Arabidopsis thaliana: one gene and its partners. The main gene of each other region encodes a partner of the protein of the gene in region 4 in a complex. Each region holds a gene or a part of one and is shown on either strand. Other genes may lie near its edges. The genes, in order: AT1G27890, CAF1b, AT1G27820 and AT1G31500.

Evidence for each region.
Region 1: AT1G31500 (region 4) and AT1G27890 share a complex: the UniProt entries of both Arabidopsis thaliana proteins name them as parts of the CCR4-NOT complex.
Region 2: AT1G31500 (region 4) and CAF1b share a complex: the UniProt entries of both Arabidopsis thaliana proteins name them as parts of the CCR4-NOT complex.
Region 3: AT1G31500 (region 4) and AT1G27820 share a complex: the UniProt entries of both Arabidopsis thaliana proteins name them as parts of the CCR4-NOT complex.

Annotation. Positions count from the first base shown.
Region 1 is NC_003070.9:9,713,305-9,717,481, reverse strand, and holds AT1G27890 (Polynucleotidyl transferase, ribonuclease H-like superfamily protein), read left to right. Parts: upstream 1-2,305; 5' UTR 2,306-2,437; coding exon 2,438-3,346; downstream 3,347-4,177. Other genes in the region: AT1G27900 (RNA helicase family protein), read left to right, coding at 1-54, 138-261, 375-525, 875-944, 1,143-1,303, 1,436-1,611, 1,720-1,867; AT1G27880 (DEAD/DEAH box RNA helicase family protein), read right to left, coding at 3,581-3,677, 3,766-3,881, 3,974-3,998, 4,152-4,177. UniProt on the Arabidopsis thaliana protein: Ubiquitous transcription factor required for a diverse set of processes. It is a component of the CCR4 complex involved in the control of gene expression.
Region 2 is NC_003076.8:7,364,621-7,369,112, reverse strand, and holds CAF1b (Polynucleotidyl transferase, ribonuclease H-like superfamily protein), read left to right. Parts: upstream 1-2,313; 5' UTR 2,314-2,671; coding exon 2,672-3,508; 3' UTR 3,509-3,636; downstream 3,637-4,492. Other genes in the region: MS1 (RING/FYVE/PHD zinc finger superfamily protein), read left to right, coding at 1-1,406; OFP10 (Ovate family protein), read right to left, coding at 3,834-4,424. UniProt on the Arabidopsis thaliana protein: Ubiquitous transcription factor required for a diverse set of processes. It is a component of the CCR4 complex involved in the control of gene expression.
Region 3 is NC_003070.9:9,688,961-9,693,182, reverse strand, and holds AT1G27820 (Polynucleotidyl transferase, ribonuclease H-like superfamily protein), read right to left. Parts: upstream 1,556-4,222; coding exon 623-1,555; downstream 1-622. UniProt on the Arabidopsis thaliana protein: Ubiquitous transcription factor required for a diverse set of processes. It is a component of the CCR4 complex involved in the control of gene expression.
Region 4 is NC_003070.9:11,273,102-11,279,652, forward strand, and holds AT1G31500 (DNAse I-like superfamily protein), read right to left. Parts: upstream 3,528-6,551; 5' UTR 3,434-3,527; coding exon 3,378-3,433; exon of another isoform or gene 3,374-3,377; intron 3,081-3,373; coding exon 2,816-3,080; intron 2,629-2,815; coding exon 2,579-2,628; intron 2,251-2,578; coding exon 2,181-2,250; intron 1,965-2,180; coding exon 1,840-1,964; intron 1,753-1,839; coding exon 1,640-1,752; intron 1,496-1,639; coding exon 1,360-1,495; intron 1,283-1,359; coding exon 1,135-1,282; coding exon of another isoform or gene 1,129-1,134; exon of another isoform or gene 1,026-1,128; coding exon 720-1,025; 3' UTR 501-719; downstream 1-500. Other genes in the region: AT1G31510 (F-box associated ubiquitination effector family protein), read left to right, coding at 4,316-5,003, 5,048-5,107, 5,180-5,361; AT1G31520 (uncharacterized protein), read right to left, coding at 5,882-6,128, 6,245-6,337, 6,480-6,538. UniProt on the Arabidopsis thaliana protein: Acts as a catalytic component of the CCR4-NOT core complex, which in the nucleus seems to be a general transcription factor, and in the cytoplasm the major mRNA deadenylase involved in mRNA turnover.

The DNA of each region.
Region 1 (4,177 bases), 1.6 Mb from region 4:
TTGATGCAATTGATGAGAATGGAGCAATAACAAGGATTGGACGGACAATGTCTGGTATGTTTAGCGCAGTTTTCTTCTGTTTGATTTTTTCTAGTTTGAGCTGCTATCTCATACTGACCATATTTGTGGTTCAACAGATCTTCCACTAGAACCATCATTGTCAAGAACATTGATAGAAGCGAATGAAACCGGTTGCTTATCTCAAGCTCTAACAGTTGTTGCTATGCTGTCAGCAGAGACAACTCTTCTTCCTGCTAGGAGGTTAGTTTTTACGATATACAATAACCTGGGTCAGATTGTGAAATGTTTAAAATCACATTGACTAGATACAGATGCGTCAACTCTTGTCTTTATGGTTTTTGCTTGCATGATAGTAAACCCAGTGAAAAGAAGAGGAAACATGATGAAGATTCTAATCTTCCTAATGGATCCGGATATGGTGATCACATTCAACTGCTACAGATTTTCGAATCTTGGGACCGTACTAATTATGATCCTGTATGGTGCAAAGAGAACGGCATGCAGGTAATTGTTCCATTTTCTTCCTTCCTTCCTTATCTATTCTCGAGTATTCCAAGTGAAAAGCATGGTGACATCAAAAGCCTTACTGCATTGTTACTTCAGAAGGTGGTCAGTTATATGCTGTCTCTGCAGTTAATACAATCTATATAGCATAGAAAATCCCTTCATTGTTGAGACCTGACTCCGATGGGCGTCAATGTTTGTATTTTCTGCTTCATACAGTTTTATAACCAACAATTATGGGAGTTACTGAAATTTACTACCTTTGTTTAGATAGTCTATTTCGGTACATTATTACGTGGGTTCCTTATGCCAATAAGAAAGATAACTTTTGTTGAAAAATAATTTGCAGGTGCGAGGGATGGTGTTTGTCAAAGATGTTAGAAGACAGTTATGTCAGATTATGCAGAAAATATCCAAAGGTTAGATTGTTTCATGACAAGAAGATTCCGTGAAAGAATATATAATTATTTCTCTATGGCTTTCACCCTAAATGGTTATGCCTCCAACAGAACCAGAGTTTATGTCAACATCACTCTTTTATCTTGTGAGATGTGATAGGTGGCTGTGTCATACCTAACCAACCGTCACTAAAATATTTGGTCTCCTTGACAAACTAGATCGATTGGAAGTTGGGGCAGATGGTAGGAAGAGTTCAAGCCGAGACGACTACAGGAAGTTGAGGAAAGCTCTATGCGTTGGTAATGCAAACCAAATTGCTGAGAGAATGCTTCGTCACAATGGATACCGGACTCTTAGTTTCCAGTCCCAGCTAGTCCAGGCATTACTTCTCAATCCAAGTCTCATTTATCTGTTACAGTGTTAGATTTTCTATTACATCAGTAGCTCAGATATGTAAGCATTTCCAGTTTCGTATGATCATCGACATATTGACGTTTTTGGTTGATTCTAGGTGCATCCATCATCTGTATTGAGTGCCGACAATGACGGAATGATGCCTAACTACGTAGTGTACCATGAGCTGATTTCCACCACACGTCCGTTCATGCGGAATGTTTGTGCAGTAGATATGGCATGGGTGGCTCCCATCAAAAGAAAGATCGAGAAATTAAATGTCAGAAAATTGAGGTAAAAACAAACATTACTCTTTACTAGTTCAATCCAGTCTTGTTCTAGCTTTTTCTTGTCTGGTCTTGGATTCAGTAATTGATCGGTATCATTTAATCTGCCATGTAGCGGTGGACCGGCTCCCTCTTTCAAAGTACCTGAGGAGAAGACGGAGTTGTCTAAAAACAATGCAGAAACACCTGCAGTTTCTGAAAATGTTGAGAGTCGGATTGAAGCAGCCAGAGAACGCTTTCTTGCTCGTAAAGGACAGAAATAAATTTGATGTCTCAAACATAAATACAAGATTCAACTAGCCCTATAAAGAATAGAAAAGAGAAGCTTTCTGTAGAAGATTTGTTATTAGAGACAATTTTCAAATTTTGTATGTTCTGTTTTTTTTTTTTTTGGCTCAACTTAAACTTTTCTTTATTCTCATTCGACATGAGTTTTAAATTTTTAACCCAATTTGGTATGTTCTTAGTATTATGTTTAAAAGATGATAATGTTTACACGAAAAAAGAAAAGAAAAAGGTTTTGGTATTAGTCAGACTTCGGTTTAGTGATTTAATTCGGTTTAGTATTAAAATTGTAAACCGCTTCGGAAACAGGCTTCTCTTATTTTGGGCTTTTGAGAGGAAAATGGAAATCTCGTGTCCAACAAGAATTAAATTAGGAGTGATAAAAGTCAACACGAACTTTTTGACTGGAAAAAAATGGAAACTTTCCGGCGACGTAAGAAAAAAGGAAACTCCCACTGCTATTAGTATTCGAGTCTCCGAAATCAGATAGAGAGAGAGATTAGTATTTCAGATAAACAAACTGTTTCAGTCTTCAAAATCCGAGAGAGATGGGTGAAGTTTGGAGATGGAACAAGGAAGTAGAGATGGATTCGATAAGAGATTGTTTGAAACATTTTAGTTCCATCGCTATCGACACAGAGTTTCCCGGATGCTTAAAGGAGACTCCGATGGACGCGAGTGAGGAAATTCGTTACAGAGACATGAAGTTCAATGTGGACAACACCCATCTCATCCAGTTAGGTTTCACGCTATTCGACAGAAGAGGAATCACTAAAACCTGGGAAATAAACTTGTCAGATTTCAACGAACATAAGTGCTTCAAAAACGATAAGTCCATAGCTTTTCTCAAAAGCAATGGTCTCAATCTGGACAAGATCGGAGAGGAAGGTATTGGAATCGAAGAATTCTTTAGAGACTTTTCTCAGATTCTCAAGGAGAAGGACGGAAAGATAACTTGGGTGAATTTTCAAGGCTCTTACGACAATGCTTATCTCGTTAAAGGCTTAACGGGAGGGAAACCGTTACCGGAGACTAAGGAAGAGTTTCACGAGACCGTCGAGCAGCTTTTGGGAAAGTTTGTTTTTGACGTAAAGAAAATCGCTGAATCATGCAGCGGACTAAGTAGCCGATTCGGACTACAGAGAATAGCTGATGTGTTGCAGATGAAACGTGTTGGAAAAGCTCATCACGCTGGCTCAGACAGTGAATTGACGGCTCGTGTCTTCACTAAGTTGACTTTCGATTTGCTCAATAGTAGAAAGCAGTGTGTAAGACGAGTTGATCATCAGCAATATCAACTAGAGCAGCAGCAGCTTATGATGACTAGATGTTACATCCCAATACCGATACCTATACCGAGACCGAGATCGGTGATGTTTGCTGCTCATCACCCGAACCCGTATTTTGGTGGTGGTTACTTTGGGATGCCGGTCCAAGGAAGGAACTACGTTTTGTGATGCCTGAATGTTTGTTTAACATGACTTGCTCTGCTATTATGTATAATTTCTAGTTTTATCAGATGTTTCTTTAAATACTAAAGATTAACTTTCATCTTTTCTTGTCGATCAAAACAATTCTCTCAACTCTCATATGACACAATTTCTCTTTACTGGATACTTTCAATGAATCTAGAATACAATACAAATAAATTTAAATATCCTAAGAATCTACTCAAAGCCTCTAATCTTATGTTATGTAGCTAAAGCTGCGTTCCTGTCAACAAAATTGAACAACTCTGTTTGTGCCGCTTCCATTATCACTCGGAAGTCTACGTTCATATACCTTCCCCTGCAAAGCCATATTTCAATTAAATCACATGTACCATCACCAAACAATAACTTGCATGGCTTGGTTTAGCTGATGATGATGAATATACCAGAAATGAGTCTTGGACCAGACTGAATTCGGAAAAGCTGGACTTCCAACTCCGTGCATTATTCTCGCGATGGCTCTTGGTGTGAATTTGGCTTGGCGATTACTCTGCAAAAACACCTGTTTTGACACACAATAGTTAACTGGACATTCTTTGGATACATGGCAAAACAATAAAGTATGAACAACAGTGTGGCTTCTTGGATCTTCACCTTTATGTCTGCTCGTAGAAAGGCGCTGCATCCACAATACAAGCGTTGATCAATTTAATGGAAAGATGACTTTGACAAACAAATAATATGTAACAACCGCAGTTTTATATTTCCTTATTCGCTATGCAATAATCGAAATTTGGAATCTATGAAAACAAGTAAAATATTTTGTTAGTACCAATTTTGAGTAGCCTTGCTCGGACT
Region 2 (4,492 bases), on a different chromosome or scaffold from region 4:
ACGCGTCGCACAAAAAAGGAATGGAGTTGAGGCTGCTGCATGGGGTAGCAAAAGGAGAGCCATGGTTCGGTCGTTGGGGCTACCGGTTCGGGTCAGGGACATACGGAGTGACTCAAAAGATTTACGAGAAGGCACTTGAGTCGGTCCGTAACATACCCTTGTGCTTGCTTAACCATCACCTAACCAGCCTTAACCGAGAAACTCCAATCCTCTTGTCAAAGTACCAAAGTTTATCCACCGAGCCATTGATCACTCTCAGTGACCTCTTCAGGTTCATGCTTCATCTCCATTCACGTCTTCCAAGAGATAACTACATGAGTAACTCCCGAAACCAAATCATCTCCATTGATAGTACCAACTGCAGATGGTCTCAAAAACGGATCCAAATGGCTATCAAAGTGGTCATAGAGTCACTGAAAAGAGTCGAATACCGATGGATATCGAGACAAGAAGTGAGGGATGCAGCTAGAAATTACATTGGGGACACTGGTTTGCTTGATTTTGTGTTGAAGTCGCTTGGGAACCAGGTGGTTGGAAACTATTTGGTCCGACGTAGTCTAAATCCGGTGAAGAAAGTGCTAGAGTATTCCTTGGAGGATATATCAAATTTGTTACCAAGTAGTAACAATGAACTCATAACCCTTCAAAACCAAAACTCAATGGGGAAGATGGCGACAAACGGTCACAATAAGATCACAAGAGGTCAAGTTATGAAAGACATGTTTTATTTTTACAAACACATTCTCATGGACTACAAGGGAGTGTTAGGCCCCATAGGAGGTATATTGAACCAAATCGGAATGGCTTCAAGAGCAATCCTCGACGCTAAGTACTTCATCAAAGAGTATCACTACATTAGAGATACATCGGCGAAAACGTTACACTTAGATCGAGGGGAAGAATTAGGAATATTCTGCACGATCGCGTGGAAATGTCATCATCATAACAACGAGATAAAAGTTCCTCCACAAGAATGCATTGTAGTGAAGAAAGATGCAACATTGAGTGAAGTGTACGGAGAGGCAGAAAGAGTGTTTAGAGATATCTATTGGGAACTAAGAGACGTCGTGGTGGAGTCAGTGGTGGGTGGTCAAATAGAGATCACAAGGGTCGATGAAATGGCCTTGAATGGGAATAAGGGATTGGTGTTAGAAGGGAACGTAGGAATGATGATGAACATTGAAGTGACGAAATGTTATGAAGATGATGATAAAAAGAAGGATAAGAGAATAGAGTGTGAGTGTGGAGCAACGGAAGAAGATGGAGAGAGAATGGTGTGTTGTGATATTTGTGAAGTATGGCAACACACAAGGTGTGTTGGTGTTCAACACAATGAGGAAGTGCCTCGCATTTTTCTTTGTCAAAGTTGTGATCAACATCTTATTCCTCTCTCTTTTTTACCCTAAATCATTCATGTTATATTAAACCTTCTTTTTTTCTATCATTACGTCATAATACATAAATTATACTCCTCGATCAACGTGAATTCTAATGATCCCTCCTGCGTCTATATCACCAACATGTTGAATCACAAAGTCATATCCTTGCCTCCTCTGGAGCCTGACTGTTCTAATAATATCATTATCAACATGTCGCTCTCCTCTTCCCCTGATGACTCATGTGACGTCATCTACTCCAACCGTGATTCCAAGTTTTACTTGACAACAACCTTAAGGCTTGTCTCCAAGAAAAGGCAGTTAAATTTTAACAGAAAATAATTCACAACACAAGGCGGAGAAAGAAGTGTGTAGTGTTTTAAATAATTTAGGCTTACAATTGATGCAAAAACAAAATTACAAACAAAAGAAGGTTTACATAATTTAAATAATTTAGTTTTACAATTGATGCATTTGGAATTAATAAATTATTTCTTCATTAACATGGAACAATATCAAGTTATTGCAAACAAAGGAAATGAAAGAAAAACAGTCATGTGTTTAACAACTCTGTTCAAGGTCAACGTCCTAAAAAGTTTCTTATTATATTGACTGAAGATGGAAAACTCCACGGACTATCTACGTTTGTGATATTGTTTCTAGAAATTGGGACTTACATCCAAATCTGGAAGAACAATCTTCTAAACACTACCAACAAAGTCATGAGATTCGATGAGTAAACTAGGGAACAATGAAAACTGAAAAGGGCTCAACCTAGGCTTCGCTGTTGCTACAATTTCGTGAAAACATTAAAGCACAATCAGATACGTGTAGACATCATCATAATCTAATGATTCAACCCTTTAATGCGTTTTTAGTGCGTCGTTACATATTCAGTGTTTATTGGTAATATAGCAATATTCCTGATAAAGTTCATTGGTCGTAAGTCGTAACGTTTACATGTTTTATTCAACTCTTAAAAACCAATAGAAAATCTTAATGTACTTGGCCTTCTTATTCTTGTCGGCTTAATGTACTTACTTAAATACAACGACTTGAATTGCAATAATTCGATACACGAAGGAGAAGCCAACTTAGACTAAGTCAAGAAACACATTGAATCATAAACGTGCGCGTTTCTCACACTTCTTCTCCTCTCCTTCCTCGTAAACACTCTCTTACTCACATTCATATATATAACTAAACCTTGCAGATTAACCAAATCAACAAAAAAAAACAGACTTTTGATAAATTCACAACGAAGAAGAAGACCTAAAAGATCGGGACTTGAAACTATGATCAAATCAGAAGCAGATCTCTCCGATGTGATCGTGATTCGTGACGTTTGGGCTTATAATCTCGAGTCAGAGTTTGACCTAATCAGAGGAATCGTCGAAGATTACCCATTCATCTCAATGGATACAGAATTTCCCGGCGTGATTTACAAGGCGGATCTCGACGTTCTCCGCCGTGGAAACCCTAATTATCTCTACAATCTTCTCAAATCCAACGTTGACGCTTTAAGTTTGATCCAAGTCGGTCTTACTCTCTCCGACGCCGACGGAAACCTCCCAGATCTCGGCGGTCAAAAAAACCGTCGATACATCTGGGAATTCAATTTCCGTGACTTCGACGTGGAGCGTGATCCACACGCTCCTGATTCGATCGAGCTACTCCGTCGTCACGGGATCGATTTCGAGCGGAACCGTCGCGAAGGTGTTGAATCGGAGAGGTTCGCGGAGCTGATGATGTCATCGGGGTTGATCTGTAACGAGTCTGTGAGCTGGGTGACGTTTCACAGCGCGTATGATTTTGGTTACCTTGTGAAGATTCTCACGCGCCGGCAGCTTCCGGTGGCGTTGCGTGAGTTTTTAGGGTTGCTTAGAGCTTTCTTCGGTGATAGGGTTTATGATGTGAAACATATTATGAGGTTTTGTGAGCAGAGATTGTATGGTGGTTTGGACCGGGTTGCTCGGTCTCTTGAAGTTAACCGGGCGGTTGGGAAATGTCATCAAGCCGGTTCGGATAGTTTGCTGACGTGGCAGGCGTTTCAGAGGATGAGGGATTTGTATTTCGTTGAGGATGGGGCGGAGAAACACGCCGGAGTTTTGTATGGTTTAGAGGTTTTTTGAGGGATTTATAATTAATTAATTTAATTAATCTTTGTTAATCATTTATACAGTCGAAATCGAAATTATCTTATTCATCTCTCGTTTTAACCAAATCCAAAAACCAAAACGAAATAACTCAATTTGGTTTTGTTTAACCAATTTACACTTCAAAACTTTTTGTGCAGTAAAATATTATCGTTACGTTAGAGCTAGGCTTTGAGGTATAACTTTGATTTTTGTTGGTGTTGTTTAATAGTTTACATCTAGTCATGGAATCATAAATTGAAATTATTCACAATATTGTAACATCTATATATAGAGAGAGATATGAGGAGGATTTAGTTCCTCATTTTGAAGAAGTTTGGTGTGAGTCATCATCATTGTTATCAAGAGGATTGTTAACATATAGACGAAGCAATCTCCCAAGTGACTTCCCACGTCGGTCGTGTGGTGGTTGGAGATGTGAACAGACGTCGACAAAAGCACGGACGATGAGATTGTGTTGAGGAGAAGGGTTTATGTCCAAGAAACACCTTAGAAGCTCCTTAAGTTCACTTTCCGTCTCGATATATCTCTCTTCGATCATCTGATTCATCGACTTCTTGTAATCTTCGAACGGATTGATTGATTCTTTAGCCATCGCGACGCTCTCATCGATCTTAGGACATGGGCTGCGTAAAACCGTGGGAGAAACCGGTGGTCCCGGGGTGTAGTGGCTGTGAGAGGAAGGTGGAACGGTAGAGCCGCAACCGCATGCCATAAAAATGGGTTTGAATATGGTTTTGAGTATATACTTCATCATCTTCTTGAAAGACATTTTTTTTTTTACTAGAGGAAGAGAAAACAAGTTGAGATTATTGAGTGAGGATGTTGGTGTGGGAAAGTTTGTTAAAAGAGGAACCTTTTTTTCATTTAACTTAGCTTGGAGATTCAGCATTGCTCATTGCTTTGGAGATGCACAATTTTGATGGATTTCTTTTTTAAGGAAAATAATACCATCTTGAG
Region 3 (4,222 bases), 1.6 Mb from region 4:
AGTTCATACTACTAAAATGAAGATTAAACTCGTTCCGAGTCAATGCGAACCGAATAAACAACGATCGACTGTAAGACCAAAACGAATCTCTTTATTCGGCGAAGACCATAAATTTGTAACTAAAGATAACTACGTCAAAGTGTAAAAGTAAAATAATAAAAATCTATTTGAACACAGTTCTTTTACTGGGTAGTTTCACCCTTTACAAAATTTGCAGAATGTAGTTGCAGCCTATTCGACTTTTTGTAAATGACCAAGTTGGCAACTTAATAAATACCGCGTGGTTTATAGCTCATGTGCGTAGACTTCCGTGTGAAAATGGAAGCGGCACAAACAGAGTTGTTCAATTTTGTTGACAGGAACGCAGCTTTAGCTACATAACATAAGATTAGAGGCTTTGAGTAGATTCTAAGATATTTAAATTTATTTGTACTGTATTCTAACTTTTTAGATTCATTAAAAGTATCCAGTAAAGAGAAATTGTGTCATATGAGAGTTAAGAGAATTGTTTTGATCGACAAGAAAAGATGAAAGTTAATCTTTAGTATTTAAAGAAACATCTGATAAAACTAGAAATTATACATAATAGCAGAGCAAGTCATGTTAAACAAACATTCAGGGATCACAAAACATAGTTCATTCCTTGGACCGGCATCCTAAAGTAACCACCACCAAAATACGGGTTCTGGTGATGAGCAGCAAACATCACCGGTCTCGGTCTCGGTATCGGCATCGGTATCGGGATGTAACATCTAGTCATCATAAACTGCTGATGCTGTTGCTGCTCTAGTTGAAATTGCTGATGATCAACTCGTCTTACACTCTGCTTTCTACTATTAAGCAAATCGAAAGTCAACTTAGTGAAGACACGAGCCGTCAATTCACTGTCTGAGCCAGCGTGATGAGCTTTTCCAACACGTTTCATCTGCAACACATCAGCTATTCTCTGTAGTCCGAATTGGCTACTTAGTCCGCTGCATGATTCAGCGATTTTCTTTACGTCAAAAACAAACTTTCCCAAAAGCTGCTGGACGGTCTCGTGAAACTCTTCCTTAGTCTCCGGTAACGGTTTCCCTCCCGTTAAGCCTTTAACGAGATAAGCATTGTCGTAAGAGCCTTGAAAATTCACCCAAGTTATCTTTCCGTCCTTCTCCGTGAGAATCTGAGAAAAGTCTCTAAAGAATTCATCGATTCCAATACCTTCCTCTCTGATCTTGTCCAGATTGAGACCATTGCTTTTCAGAAACGCAATGGACTTATCGTTTTTGAAGCACTTATGTTCGTCGAAATCTGACAAGTTTATTTCCCAGGTTTTAGCGAATCCTCTTCTGTCGAATAGCGTGAAACCTAACTGGATGAGATGGGTGTTGTCCACATTGAACTTCATGTCTCTGTAACGAATTTCCTCACTCGCGTCCATCGGAGTCTCCTTTAAGCATCCGGGAAACTCTGTGTCGATAGCGATGGAACTACAATGTTTCAAACAATCTCTTATCGAATTCATCTCTACTTCCTTGTTCCATCTCCAAACTTCACCGCTACTAATTTGCTTCATCTCGAACGAAACTACGAAAGAAAAAAACGTTTGTTTTTCTGAAAGAGAAAAGCGAGAAGCCACCTGAATTTATTTTCGTTTGGTTATTAGGATTGTTGTTAGAGGAGATTAGATTATGTAGAGTAACACAGACTTCAGTTTCCTTTTTTTTTTAAGGCACAACACAAAATTTCCTTTTTGTTTCTCCTAATTCTTGTTAAACACGAGAATTTCCATTTTTCTCTTAAAAGCCAAAGAAAAAAAAAAAACTAACTTAGTGCGGTGATTGTTTTTCGCACATAATTATGTATATTTTATATAGAGCAACTAGATATTTGTTTAAATAGATTTTAATAACTTTATAATCATTTTTTACTGTGAATAGAAAATAGGGTAAATTGCAGGCCACATCCGTTGACCATGTTTTATTTCCATGGATTGTCAAAGTCAAATGTGGTTTTCACCATTTGTCTTTTCGCCTGCAAAATGACGTTTCTGCCCTTGCGTTTCTCTCTTAGCAACTGTTGAAATGTACGGTTTAGTTTAGCAGGTTTAGTTACGTACACTGTTCCGGTTCAGTTGAAGATTTTTTGTTCACGTTGACGCGATTCGGTTCCGTTACAAGTGAGATTATTCCGAAGTGACATCAACATTTAATGCCCCCAAAAAGTTTAGATGTGACTATTGTCACAATTAATGCAAAATCATCATTACATCAAATAATATTAAAAAAATTATTAATAATAATTAAAAAAAAATTTGTTGAGATGAAGAAGATGAACCCAGGAACAAAGAATTATTGCGAACGTACATTGCTGCTGAAGAAGTGTTGATCTTGTTTTTGTACCAAGTTTGGAGCATTGCTCGTGTAAGTAATGAAGTTCTTTTAAGAAGTTTTTTTTATGTCATATTAGGATCTTGATTGTGTTCGAACTCCATTTTTTTATCAGAATATTTGCAAAATCTATATTTGTTTGTTTAAAATAGTCAAATGATAATTGGTATTTAGGTTTATAAATGTGTAGTATCGACATTCCATTTGTTTTTTATATGTATAGTATTTTTCAGTTGCATTTAATGTGTGTCTCCTGAATTTATGATGCAGGTGGGTTATGGATATTCCCGTATTTACCATGGTCGGTGAGTGGAAATGCAAAGAAGGAGAATGGAAATTTGAACCTGAGGAAGGCATCTTTGGTCGTTGTGTACGCGTTCAGGAAACCATGACGTACACGGACTTTGTCCGTACACTCCGAGAGGCTTTCAGTTTGAAGTCCACCGAGATCAATCCCATAATTAGCTACTGGATGCCGGGTGAAATGTCAGTGCTGATAGATACTAAACGCCCTCCTGTATACATTGACAGTCAGATGGGTCTCGAGACGTTTTTTTTGGTTCGTGGTGGGTATCTTTCTCTCAACTTGTTCGTCTCTTTCAATAATACAGTGAAGGCGTTCGGGAATACTGTCTCTAGGTCTCATGGTGAAGTTTCTGAAAGTGACCGTGTGTTTGATAGTGCTACAAATGTTGATGAAAATAATGAGGATGCAGAGGAGCAAGCCGATGTTGAAGACGATACAACAGAAGCGGATGAATTGGAGGAGGGCAACGAAGATGATGATGGGTGTGATGATTATCTTGGTGTGGATGGATCTATTGGGGGAAGTACCCTGTATCCTACCACAGACGGTAGTGAAGGTATTGGCGAAGAATACGATTACAACAAGTGGAACGATGTAATAGTAGAAGAATATGTACAAGGAAATCTTGAGGAAGACGTCAGTCTCACTCAACAGACTGCTCAACATCCAGGGAAATTCAGTCGTTTATTGGAAACGTGTACGTACACGGGTGTTAGTGTACCTAGCGGAGATACAGGGGAATTCAGTCGTCTCTTGGAAACGTGTACGTACACTGGTCTTAGTGTACCTGGCGAAGAAACAATCTCTCCATTGGGTTACGGTACACGCTGCGAAGGGCAAAGGGATTCCAATCTTATTTGTATAGACGAAGTCACCAGGGATGAAGTGATCGAAGGTATTGGAGCTTCCTCAACTGGGACACAAAATGATAATGGGGTAGTTACCGCAGCTGAGGCTTACCAAGTGTATAATGAATTTCCTAAGTTACATGGTGGCGAGTTGGCGAATCTCGGTAACGATGCTGCTCCTGTGTTCGATGACTTACTCAATTTTTGAGCTGATGAGACACAGGTTGAAATCAGCACCACAGGCGAAACTTTGTTTGTTGGAAGTGTTTTTAAGAATAGAAAAGTCCTGCAACAAACAATGTCTCTTCAAGCGATAAAGCAATGCTTTTGCTTCAAGCAACCTAAGTCATGTCCTAAAACATTGAAGATGGTGTGCGTTGATGAGACTTGTCCATGGCAATTGACTGCTCGCGTCGTGAAGGATTCAGAAATTTCAAAATCACTTCGTATGCTACGACACATACGTGTAACATCGACTCTCGGAAGAACTACAATAAACATGCTAATTATAAGCTCCTCGGAGAAGTTGTGAGGAGCATATACAGTTCTACGCAGGGTGGGCCGCGAGCTGTCGACTTACCACAGCTGCTCCTAAATGATCTGAATGTGCGTATTTCATATTCTACCGCTTGGAGAGCAAAAGAGGTTGCAGTGGAAAATGTACGGGGGGATGAGATAGCAAATTACAGGTTTTTGCC
Region 4 (6,551 bases):
AGGTTCTCAAGGGAAGCTTATGCTAAATGATATTTATTTATAAGAACATATAATAAGCATAGAAAATATAATATTTTTGTTCGGTTGTTTGTGATTATATATTCAAAGGAATGATCACTATCCGTTTTGAAAAAATCTTATGTTTTTGGAACATAACATTACATCACTGTCATTTTGGATAAAAGTTTGAAGAGTACGACTTTATTCAATAACAATGGTTCAAATTATCGGTGAAAGGTGAGACTGTAAAAGAATATTCGTTCGTACTCAAAATTATGATTTATTATTATAAGTTGGTGCGATAGTACAAACTTTAGTGGTTGATAGATAAAACAGATCAATGCTTGACCTAATTTTGTTGCAACTTTATTCAACAAATTGAAACGAGATCATCATATGATATTAACATGTCATTTCACTAAATCTTCTATTGTTTTTGTCTAGTTGACTACAGAATAATAGAACCAATTCTTATGTTATTTTATGAGTGCAATAAACAAGACACATTAAACAATTTCTTCTCAAGAAAATTCAAATATTCTCAGTAATTCAATGCACACAACGAAAATTTCGAGTTTATTGAGACAAAAATGATCCAAGTCCTTTAATACTTTGTGTTGTGTGTGTATGATTCACTGCTTCATGATTTCTACAAGAACCATATTCAAATGCTGAAACAATGGAGTTATGCGACAAAACTTTCTAAAGAACGAAACTTCCTATTCCCGACGAATCTCAAACTCAGCTCCTATAGGTAAATGATCACTCGGGTGATGATGATTCGGTAAGAAACCGACAACATCTGGAGAATCCGGCTCAGGTAGTTGAAGGATACTCACAGGTTTAATGAAGTCTGAAGGAGAGATGAAGATGTAGTCAAGTGTGTTTGTGAAGCCAGGAGTGCAATTTGTGAACTTAGGCTCTCCTCTTGTGACTTCATAGACACTAGACAGAGGAACTGGAGCTTCTTCTTCTTCTATGGTCTCTGTGGGTTTAGCATTACCCGATACTAGGTAACTATAAACCTGGAAAACGACGACAAGTATCAGGATTTTACCACCGTAAACCCAATCTTTTGATTTTGCAAATAGATTGAACAATTAGGGAAACTCAATGTAAGAAACTGAATCAAACCATATCCCCAGGAATTGAATTGAAGTCGCCAGCTAGTAGCAATGAAGGTGTGCACTCAAATTCATCTGATATTAGTGTTTTGAACTGAGCTAGTCGTGACAGTAGATACTTGGCTTGAGCAAGCTTGACATCAGCCAATTCAGGGTCCCTAGAGATAAGTAAACATGAGATGAAAGTTTAAAGGGTGGTAAAAGATAATCTTCAATCGGTGACAAGTATTTTTACCAGTAAAGATGTGTGTTTGCCACGATAACGATATGCTGAAACGGCTTGTTGATCCTAAAAGCAGCCATTATTCCAACGCAATCACGTTTTAGTCTCACTAGTGGATCATTAAGGTCACGACTGTCTTTTCGAGAATCTTTTGTTTGGGGCAGATTTGTGGAAACATGTGAAGAGAACATAGATAAAAGTTAGTAATGATGTTGAGATATAAAGAAACAGCACAAAGTATTTGCTTTCTTTTCCTCCAAAAGGACAAATTTATCTTTCGCTTTCTCATCACCTTTTCCTTCGTTGGATGTCTCAATCTTCTGTTCGCTGCAGGAAACACTATCTGCTTTTATTGAGTCCACAAGATCATTATATTCGATCCGTTCCTTTGTGACTAACTCTGCACTAAATCAAAAGAAGAGTGTTGTTTCAATCAGATTGATGTTTTTGCATTAAGTTAACGTCTTGTCAGGCTTAATGTTTTTATCATACCAGCTTGGCTTGTAGAAGATTGCACAACCATCACGCTTCCTCTGGCCGGTTCTCTGAATATAAATCCCAGAATATCCCAGAGAGTCCATGTTATTTCTGTAAAAGCTATCGTACTCATCTACTTCCTGCGAGCATTGCAACTATATAACTAACAAGTGGAGACACCCTTTTGTTAAACACAATTCAAAGGCCCTATGAACAAACAACACTAACATTTTTACAGGCCTGAGCTTGTCTAATGGATTGAACAAAAGAGAAGAATGAATTTTGTGTTTCATACGAAAAGGGTATCTCAATACTACCTAAACACAAAAGAAGAAGTTTTCACAAGAATAAAGTACCTGCAGACAAAAGAAATCAGCCTGGAGATTTTTGAGAACGCTGAGAATTGCATGTGAACGAGCTTTCCATCTGCAACACAAGAAAAGGAAGACCAAGTCACATTTACTACAAAACCATAACCCTTTAAGAAGCACCATTCCCTAATATTTTAACAAAGTTAATATATCGCTAAATCCAAAGTACATATTGGGTAATGGATAATTAACGTGGGTAAGACCAAACACAATATTGCCTGCTTATAGCTAAGTTCCTAAACATTCATAGAATCCATTGTTGTTTTCTGAAGCAAATCTTGACTATACTCCAGGCCATTGATTACACAACTCACAGAAAGAACTCTTGACTAGTATAAGTAAATTTGATCTCGAAACTGAGAAATGTAGAGAAAAATAATTACTTGAGACAGGCAGGTGGAGAGTGTGGGAGAAGTGCACTCTTCACATAAACCTACAAGAAATATAAAGCTCAAATAGATAAGAAACTCAACAAAGGAAAGAGCTAAAAGAACTGTCTGTATCTATAAATCAAGCTCAGAAATTCGTAAGATCGTTTAAAACTACAAAATTCGTCCAAATATTAAGCTACAAAATATCACAAAGCATATGAGAGATTAAAAAGCTTGATTATTTCTTACCTGAGCTAATATGTTATATGAAACAAGACGGAATCTGATACCTGAAAACACAAAATTCTCATTACTAGTACCAATTCTACTTAAACTTATACAGTTATATAAAGCCACAAGCTTTGATAAGTAAAGAGGAATAGCAAAAAAACCATCGGATTTATTTCTTGAACCAATATCAACTCCTTCAACAGATTCAAATTTGCGAACTTTTGGTTCAATTGCAGGATTCGTACTCATTCTTCTCGAAATAACTTTCCTGCAGACACGAGAGCTGTTGAATCAAAGGGTCAGGAAAAAAAACAATCCTTGAACATCAATATTTAGGTCAAAATTAAGAAGCTGATTTAATTCCCCATAAAATTTCAATTACAGCCCAGATAAATTCGAGATTCTAGAGGATTGGTTCCAATATAAAGATGAGAAATTTCTAAACAAATTGTATTCCTCAACGAAATTGCCCAATGACAATGAACAGAGACGATCAATTTAGTTGCATTACTAAATACGAAACTTGAGATTACAGAAAATGAAACTGTATATTGATTGATACAGAAACGAAGAAACCCACCTGGGAAGAAGAAGATTCGGACGAGGAAGATGATGCAGAGTTGTAGAACTAAACATCTATAGTGACAACAATTGACTTAACCCAATTTGGCTTTAGATTGAAGAAACTCTTGTGGGTTTTCAAATAAAATAGTGAAGAATTCGATAATTATCATTTGCTCCCTGTCTTTATATTAAAGTAGTTAGTGAGCCTTCATTTTATTTATTGGAACTTTAGAACCAAAAATAGGTCATTAGTAGGTTCATTTACTTTCCAACAAATAAAAATCCAATCGAAATCAACGTCAAAATCCAAAACCCAAAATTTTCAAAAATTCCCAAAGCACCTATATATATAACTATATAAGTTAGTATGAGTTTCTAAATCATTTACTGTCAGATATTTAGTCTATAAATGGTTGTGTACCAGACTAAAATCTAATTAATCGATATTTAACTAATTCACCATTACGGACCAATATACACTATTGCGAATTAAAAATTTCCATACTAACACTCACTTGAGCATAAAACTTTATAAGATGAGAAATTATAGATATATTTCCCAAAAAGCTTCACACCAATATTAATATAACAAGGGGATTGACGTAAATGACACTAAAAAACTTTATTATTCCAAAAAATGACACCTTTTTTTTGAAATTTCCAAAATAGCATATAAAATTTTTAATCCTCTATAAATTAATTAAATAATAAAGTTTTTTTTATTACTATTTGTATCAATCCCCCAAATAAAAATGAGAGCAAACATTAATCTAATATTAAATTGAATCAAAAAAGTTTTTAATAATAAAAATATATACCCTAAATTGAAAATAACAAACCCAAATATAATACTACAAACTAATTTGGTAAAGGACATACTACAAACTAATTTGGTAGAGGACATGCAAGCAATGGAAAACACTAATCACAGAACCGATATTCGTCAACAAGCACATGTCTCACATGCATGGTCTTGAACCGATATTCACAGTCTTCAATTACGTTCCGGCCACAGTTTCTCCATTGTGCTCAACAATTTCTTGTATCGGTATGGATTTCAACAACAAACCTAGTTTAAATTTTCAGGTTTTTAAACCGCTTTCATCTTCGGATTTATTGGAGCACAACATGTTTCATTGTGATGGTCTATTGCTAATGGTCATGGGAACCAAAATTTTAGTTTCCAATCCGTTGTTGAAAGAAGCAAGATGGATCAAATGTGGCTATAGCTTTGAGTTTGACCATTCCATCGATGCATATGGTCTTGGATACATTAGTAACGAGTCACCAAGTGGTTGTAATGATTACAAAATGGTTAGGTTTCGGTGTCCTAATAATTTAAGTGTTGAAATCTACGATTTCAAATCTGATTGTTGGAAGGTTGTTGTTGTTGATAAAACCTTCCATGGGTTCTTTCGACTACCATTGTCAAGTGTGTGTATAGGAGGAACTCCTTATTGGATAGGTTATAATATCTACGGTACCGTTTCGATACAAAGTTTCGATTTCTCAAAAGAGAGATTTGAGACCTTGTTCGAGTCTCTTCATCACTCATCCATCGGGATCCAGTGGAAAGATTCTCTTTCTTTAGGGATTTTCCGTGGAGATCATCTTTCTTTGTTACGTGAACCGCACTTAGCAGGTAAGATATACTGATGAAGAAGCATTGGAGTAGGTTAATGACAGTTTCTATAGCTCAACTTCCCAAGTTTCCAATATATCCAAGTCACTTCATTGAGAACAATGGTAAGATTCTGCTATATATTCGTCACTTTGTAACTAGGTCAATTAGCATCTACGTTGTGGGAGAGACATAAGAATGCCCGAAAGTTGAATGTTACTCTTCTATGGAGTCTTCAATTGGTGGTCCTGGTTGCTACTATATATGTCCCAAGCTTACTTCCGGTTCCAGGCTTTTCGAGGTAATTAAGAGGAAGAAGAATAAGCGTGCTCCGATCCATTGCTACGAGTTAAATGGTTATCTTCTTTCATGTTTATAATGGTCTTTACTTTCGAACTCTATAAACATAGTGGGATAACTTCATAAGAGTTTGAATCTGGTTCGAAAAAAGTGGGAAACAATATTTATGCATACAAATATGGTTTTTTATTTTGATTATTTCTATGTTCATATTATTGCTTCGGCGGATCTGAACTCAATGCCAATGAGCAAATGATCACTCGCTTTCGGTGTCTCGTAATATAAGATCATGATTTGATATTCGAGGTCTTTATGCATCCGTGGTTCCTTATTCCCCAAGCTTAATCTCTTTATTGCATAAATTGTATACGTTCTCGTCATATATTCTACTTATTTACTTGGTATAGTTATTTCTGGATATGACAAAAAGTAAACTCTACATTAATATTTTGGAGAGATTTTGAATAAGTATGGGAAAATACAAGAGAAGAATCTTTAACAAAAAAAAATACAAGGGAAGGAATGTTGTTTAAAAAGAGTTGTTTCATAGATGAAAAGTGCTTTTCTCTTATCTTAAGAAACCATCTGAATTATAACTTCTACATATATAAACGCCATGTATCACTGCTAGTGAGGTCTCCGGCGTTTACTCGGAGAATGGCGAGGTGAGCGTAAACAATGGGAGGTACCATCCTAAAGGGGTATGCAGCATCTTTGTAGCTATAGATCATGATATTGAACTTTGAGAGAATAGCATCCACACCAGCATCTTCTGGCTTCATGGACGTCTGAAGATAAGGGAACTCGAAGACTTTTCTTGCTCGAATGTTTGATGCAACATGTATACTAGTAAAAATAATAACGAACCAACCCAAAGTCAACAACTAGATCGAACATGGCAAAACACGTACAAAACAAAAAGTAACAAACAGAGGAGAAACAATTATGAGTAGAGATATTACCTTTGAGCTCCATGGAGATGATCTTCATTAATCCCAAGCTGCTCATTATGGATGTTCAAAATCTCTTCGTCAACTCTAAAGAATGGTCGCCAACTGTGATACGTCTAATGTATTTTGAGTTGGTGTGTACTCAAGAAATGCTCCATGAATGAAACCGGAGGCTAGATTTCTTCTTCGTCCTTCCTCTCAGCTAGCGTATCTTCTTGGTTTAATGGAGTCGCTATGAATCAATAACCATTTCTCTCTCCAGTGTTGAAGCTGGTCAGCTTCTTGCATGCAAGCCGCAAGAGTCATTTGTATCCATCCC